Drosophila melanogaster: one gene and its partner. The protein of the gene in region 1 interacts with the protein of each later gene in a pairwise test. Each region holds a gene or a part of one and is shown on either strand. Other genes may lie near its edges.

Region 1 (3,755 bases):
TGTTGTTTACCACTTAAAAAGCCCATCCGCCTCGCCTCGCGCGATATTCGACATACATATGTACATATATATATGGAAGCAAATAGCAGCGAGAGACTCTTCCAGAAATAACAGCCAGTTAACTACGGAATATGCAAGCTCATCGACTTTGTCGATTCCAAACACTCGGCAAAATGAAACTCGATCTTGCAGTACTTTTTTGTTTATCCATTGTTTACACTAGAGGGTCTCAAGAAACGCTCAGATTTATTCGGAAACGTCTAGCCAAAGAAACCGCCTTTGAATTTGGCAAAACCCACAGCGCCGCCAACGAATCCGCCGCCTCCGATGCCACCTAGTCCGCCCAATCCTCCTCCAACGGGATAGCCACCGCCATATCCGTAGCCATAGCTGGGTATCGTCTGTATGACGGGAACAGTGGTGATGATGGGCACAGTGGACACAACGGGAACTGTTTGGATAGCGGGGGCTGCCACTATGGGGGCAGCAACTCCTCCGCCTCCGATGATGCCGCCGCCCACGATACCGCCTCCAACGACTCCGCCACCTCCAAATCCACCAATGTGACGGGGTCTTCTAATGTTCTCCTCGTCGACGCTGGAGAGGATCGGTGTGGTGCTGACCACGGCGCACGCCAAGACGAGCAGGTAGACAGTTTGCCACAACATGATGGGGTTAACTGTTTGGTCTGCCCCACTCCCAGCTGCTTATTTATGCAAATTAATTAGTGGCCACTGTTTGCACTTCCAATTTGCATATTGGGGCGCCCGGGTAAAAAACCCATAACTCTAAGGCCCCATCTATGTTTTGGCGGTTCTATTGGGGGAATCATGGTTTTGCCCACTGGTAAGGTGGTTCACACCTCATCATCGTCATCGTTTGTGGTCTGAAGGTCGCCGGCCTGGGCATTAAAAGCCAGGTGATTTAGTTAAGGTAACTCACATCGTTATTGGACACTCAGCCGAGATGAGGTGCGATCTTCAAGTGCATTTTTTGTTATTACTGGCAATTGGCGCTTGGCGGACTGAAGCCCATTCCCTGGGAGGAGGTGGAATCGGAGCGGTTGGAGGAGTGGCAGCCATTGGCGGAGTTGGTGGCATCGGAGGAGTCCAGCAGGTTCCCGTTGTGCAACAAGTGCCCGTTGTCCAACAGGTTCCCGTCGTGCAACAGGTGCCCCTCATCCAACAGCAGCCGCAAGCTCTTGGCCTAGCAGGTGGAGGTGGATTCATTGGTGGCGGAATCGGAGGTGGTGCCGGTTTTGGACGCTACAAGGAAAGCTATCGCGTGCGAGCGAGGGGATTCGGTGGTGGATACCGCGCCCGGTACGACAAAAAATTTGGAGGAGGATTCGCCGGACTTGGTGCTGCTGGAGGAGCGGGCTTAGCTGGTGGCGGTCTGCTGGGATAAATACAAGCATGCTATGTAGTTTAATAACCAATTATAATAAATTGTATTAGTACCATTAATATGTTTATTTTTAACAATGAGACTTTGTTTATAACTAAAGCAGACGCACTTTCTTAAGGATAAGTATTTACAAGCTAATTAATAACAATCAATTCATATGCCGAATTATGGTAACATAATCCTGAGAACTTGCTCCTGAACACCCTGTATTTCTTCCGCTCTGCATTTCTGCTGACCTGCGCAGATTCCACCCCCAGCAAAAGTCCAATTGGCGCTCTGTGCTCTCCCACTTTATGATTTCCCACTCTCTGGTGGTGCATTTCGTCCCATTCATTTCCGTTGTTCTTCTACTTACTCAATATATCACGAGCACGCTCTAAATTTCTTTTACTCTTGTTTTGACTTGTAAAGAGAGTGGTACAGTGGTTTACATTACAGTACATTTTTTCAAAATACAATAAGTTACAATGGATATGCTTTCGAAAAGAATTTTTTTTGAAATATACATATGTGTTTAAAAATATAGATTATTATTATCATTTTGATTTGTATCTGCAAAATGTTACATTTAAATATTAAATAAAGAAAGCTTGTTTACTAAAATCCACAATACTATAAGTTATCAAAGTTTTCCATAACAAATAGTATGCGGATTTAGTTCTAAGAGTAAGTGTTAAGAGTACCAAGTTTGGCGCTCTTTAAAGAGCTGGACAGATTCGCGAGATGGCAGTTCCCTCGACGTGGAAATGAATTCCTGAAATTAAACGTTGTTCTTTGCCCGTCGTGTGCAGTCGCTCTCGCTCCCGTTATTCGCCGTTCTGGGATTCCCGCTGGCGGACTCTGGTGGCCATCACCTTGATAATCCTTATTGTGAAATATGTGAAGTGCTGCAAAGAGTCTAAGGATATCCTGATATATTAACGGTTAACTAAACTAGTGCGCAATATTAGAGGCCTAAAAATAGCGAAAATAGCAGACATGCCGTGTTTTTGTGCCTCTGTGTGTGCGTGAGTGTCTGCGAGTGAAGTGGAAATTTAAAAATAAAACAACGCTGGGACTCAACCGAAATCCGTCTGTATCGTATTGGCCAACTGCCCAGAAAAACTCCAGGTGATAAGCTCCATTCGAATTATTGTTCGTTTTCTTCTTTTTGGCCAGATTTTGTTGTTAATTGAATGCTCGGGGGAAAACTTTTAACACTCTCTCAGCTGTCAGTCTCTCTCTCTCTCTCTCAGCGATTTCAATGTCTTTATGACTTTCTCTTAAGCCACCGCTATTTTCAGTATGACCAGATTATCTCTTTCGTTCGGACTTAAGGAACACAGTGCAATTACTTGAAGTTTTCAATTACCCTAAATAGAAGGAGAGATTGGGGGGCGTTGAAGTCCTGGCACCTGCCTTATCTACTCGCCATAAGGACTGTCTCTTATGCCGCCCCATGCCACCCACTTTCGCAATTGACGAACCCCGGGCAACGTCATTATTCCGCTTTTCGCCAGACCTCTTGGCCCCTCTCGGCTTTTCTCAGTGTAATTAGTGTGATTGGGGCCAGTCTTGACTCGCTTTCTTGGCTTCTGCTTGCCATTTGGCTGATTGACAGCAGTAATAGTGGCAAATGCAACAAGCCCCCACAGGGAATTGCCTTGAAAGTACGGAAAGCTGTCCAAAATAATACCTTTACCAAGTTAAAAGTTGTACACCTAGCTGTAACATCATTCGTAGAAAGCAAATTCTGAACCAGATTCTACATATGTTGAGAATGGAGACTAGAGAGACTAGCTAACTAGAGATTCCTTGAACAATACAAAATGGTGTGTTTGTATTTTCTCAATTTCTCAAAAATCTGCACAAATTGTAAAACAGCGCTTCCTAAAACAACCCATTTGTTTTTACAAGTAAATTGTAATTGATGTGAGAAGGTAGTGCTTGTACACGATGGTGGTAGTTTAGACAACGGTTGATATCCTGTGGTTTAAACTTACCACCCTCTGGAATAAAATAACCTCAAATGGCGCTGCATCCCTCGGATCCCACGCACTGACGTCGCTGCAACTGAAACCCTGAAAATTGAAATTTTAGCTCGTGCTTCTGCTGGGTGGCTGTGTGTGCCGACGAGTATGTAGTTCAAGGTCGTTGGCCAACTTTCGGAAAGTGTCGGAGGGCCAAGATGTGCGTTTTTCTCATTACCATATAGGGAAACAGAAGCGCGAGAGGCCGTGGCAAGTTGAAGGACACGCGAGTGCCACACTTGAGACGCTATTCTTGGGCTCCAGAGGCGTCCATTCAGTTGACACTAATCACCACCCACGTACCACAAAGCGTGACACTAATGAGCACCGGTCATGCAA
Region 2 (3,226 bases), on another chromosome or scaffold:
CAAACTTACCTTGGGATCCGGCAGAGTGTGGCATATCTGAAAATATAGAACTCATTGAAGCCTAAATTGTGGAACAAACCGATGAATAGTTACCCCCTGAGCGATGAACAGACAGCCCAGCAAAACGAATTGGAGCGGCAACATCTCGCAGATCTCGACTGACACTCACGTCTCGAACTTCCGACGATCGACAGAACTATGAGTTGACTGGGTGGAATGCGCTGCAATTAAATGCAACCACGATCCCAACCCGTTCGACTGGAAATCACCAAGGTGAGAGCGTCGGGGCCCGGGGTTATCAGCCTGGGGATTACACGATAGGGAAATCAGAAGCCCATAACTCAATCTCATATGCGCAAATCATCAATTATCATTTTCCCGAATCTAGGAGCCTTTAACTTACTTACTAGTTCTTAATGCACCGAAAGAAAACTCCAAGCAGTCCCACATTCAGTGAAGAACCTTGTACTCAGATTTACACGATCGAAAGCATTAAATATTATATGCAAATATTAAAAACTCATGAAAATATAATCTAAAAGTTGTTTATTGTGTTAGGAAGTACATTTCAAGATTGAAATAAAACTAAGATATTATTGACTATCTGGACTCGGAGATTTTTCACAGTATTTATCGGAGAGTGTTAGTAGAGTCCGTAGCCGTAGGGCGAACCATATCCGCCTCCTGGACGCGGAAAGCTGGGCACAGAGATCACTGGTCTTCGGGGAATCAAATAGACCTGCGGGTAGCTAAATCCTGGTGGCTTCAGAGCCACATCCTCGTCCTTATCCTTTTCACCAGACTTGTCCTTGGGCTTATCTTCGCCGGAGTCTTCTTCGTGATCGTGATTGTGGTTGTGGGGGTATCCGAAACCGGGACTGGGAGGTCCGTATCCTGGGAAGCTGGGCCAGTTACGAGGCTGAGGGAACACCTGGGGTTGGTAGGGCGAGTACGGTGATCTGAAGGTCGGATAGGAGGGATATCCAGACAGCTCCGGCGATTCCTTGTCCGCATCTTTGGCAGTGGGCGGTGTGGTCGATGGAGGAGTAAGCTTAGGTCCCGCGGCAGAGAATATCACTCCTGGATGGGGGTAGGGATACTGAATGGGGTAGGGATAGGGGTGAGGATGCGGATAAGAATGGGGATGAAAGTGGGGCTCATGCTTATGGGGCTTTGGCGTTGTGGTGGTGGTCGTCGTAGGGGTCGTGGTTTCCGGTTCCGGAGTGGTGGACTCTGGAAGCGCAGATCCATCATTGTTTTGTTGCAAGCCATCATCCAGTTGACCCAGTCCGTCATCGGGAGCAGCGGTGGCCTCACCCTCCTGCTCTATTGCGGGCTTCGTGGTGGTTTCTGGCTTTGGAGTTGTGGTTTCCGGCTCGGGAGTGGTGGTGGTCACCTTCTTGTGGGGATGATGAGGCTGATATTGGGGGGGCAGGTGGGGCTCCGGCAGATGCGTATCATCGGTAGTCTCCTCTTCGCTGTAAAGCGAGGCATCGATTTGCTTTTTAGCCTCGTCGAGCGACAACTGAGCGTAACTCAGCGCCAGCAGCTAGAATTAAAATGTATGTTAAGTTAATCATAGTTCGAGCCATTTTGTCCTGGCCAAGATCTGGCACCAACCTGGCTAATTAGAAGCAACTTGATGAACATCCCAACCGACTGAGTTCAACTAGCAAGGGCCAAGCGAAAACTGATTGTTCTCTGCCGGCCATAGCTGACTTATATAGCTCCAGAATCGCCCACCATTATGGAAATCGGTAAGCCAACAATTACAGACAGCCCCAGAGCAATCAGCTCTCTATCTCTCTCGAAAAACCCGATTGGCATCAGGTGTTGGATGCGTCTGCCGGAATTTCCCGGACTGCGTTCGCAAATTAAAGATCGCCATCTATCAGTTGGTCACTAAGAGAATTAGTTCTGCCCGCAGAACCAGGCAGCGATTCCCGCAATCAATTTAGAACTGCTCCAATCGATTCCACCTGCGCAGCGACTATAAAAGGTGGCTTTGCCCAGTCGGCGCTTCTGGTTTCGACGCAGTATAGGTACACATACTATGTGTCAGGTGTGACGATAGGCATGGCGAAACTTGAACTGAAGCTGGTGAGTGCCAATGGGGCATTCCCTCATTATTGCACATAATCGAACGTTTCTTTGTTCTAGATTGGAATCGCTATATTCTTGGTAGCCGCGCTCGAGGCTCAGGAAACCCCTGCGGCTGAATCATCTCCAGCGTCCCCAACAGATGGCGAAACGTCTCCAGTTACAGAAGCCAGTTCCATCGGAGAATTAACTCAGACCACAGAAGCGGGGTCGGAGGTCACAGAATCACCAACAAATAGCACCGATATGGTTAATAGCACGGACAACCCAGACCCGAACGGCTCGCCTGACCCTGAAAATGGAGGAGATCCATTTGTGAAGCCAGGAAGCCATATAAAGGGACCTCGACACGTTAGAGCACATGATGGCTTCCACAGCCTGAAGACGGAGAAGCATTGGGCAAGCTGGAACGATGCCTTTACCACGCCACGTCCCTAGCTCATATGTATATCCCATTATACCCTTTCGTTTTGTGACCAATCTCTGAAGATTATTGAATAAAAAACTAAATAATTTTAATATATTCCGTCGAAATTCGGGAACACCCTATGTGGTTTTACCAAGAACTTCACAGATGACGAATTGAATTAGTCGCCAGTCTATTGTTTCCCAATGCGGTTGATTTTTTTCTGCTTGGTAAGTAGAGATAAAGAAATAGTAACATTTTTATCGTATATATTATATTTTCACATCAGTGCCTCTTTTTGTCCCTGGAGCTAGTAGTGCCCAGACATGTCGTGGGCCACGATGGATACCACAACATCGAGAAGGAAAAGCGCTGGAAAAACTGGCCAGCACGTGTGAGGCACCACCATAAACAACGTAACTCCATCTGATGTCCGACAAGGTTGGGATTGCACGCGATTACTTATGGCCCGTTGCAAAGTCGTTCACAGGGCCATAATGCCTCGGATCTCGCCAGACAATGGGAAGCGGAAGCCTTGTTCATCATATCAATGGATCACTGCTTAATTGAACATTTCCACTGTTCGAATGTGTAAATAATAAATTGAATCGCATTAATTGTTGCTATCCAAGCGATATACATTTCAAATGAGGAGAAATGGATTTTATAAATATAAATTGACCCTTTCTTTAGAATGAGTAACCCCCTTTTAAAAATATG

What was found.
Region 2: the proteins of metro (region 1) and CG13965 interact in a two-hybrid assay, tested with the Drosophila melanogaster proteins (one large-scale study listed by BioGRID).

Annotation. Positions count from the first base shown.
Region 1 is NT_033778.4:11,230,916-11,234,670, reverse strand, and holds the start of metro (menage a trois), read left to right. Parts: upstream 1-2,154; 5' UTR 2,155-2,517; intron 2,518-3,755. Other genes in the region: CG13228 (uncharacterized protein), read right to left, coding at 261-668; CG13218 (uncharacterized protein), read left to right, coding at 967-1,407.
Region 2 is NT_033779.5:19,961,149-19,964,374, reverse strand, and holds CG13965 (uncharacterized protein), read left to right. Parts: upstream 1-2,022; 5' UTR 2,023-2,076; coding exon 2,077-2,100; intron 2,101-2,160; coding exon 2,161-2,538; 3' UTR 2,539-2,617; downstream 2,618-3,226. Other genes in the region: CG10680 (uncharacterized protein), read right to left, coding at 10-36, 94-144; CG16772 (uncharacterized protein), read right to left, coding at 644-1,549, 1,621-1,650; CG42866 (uncharacterized protein), read left to right, coding at 2,713-2,736, 2,796-2,936.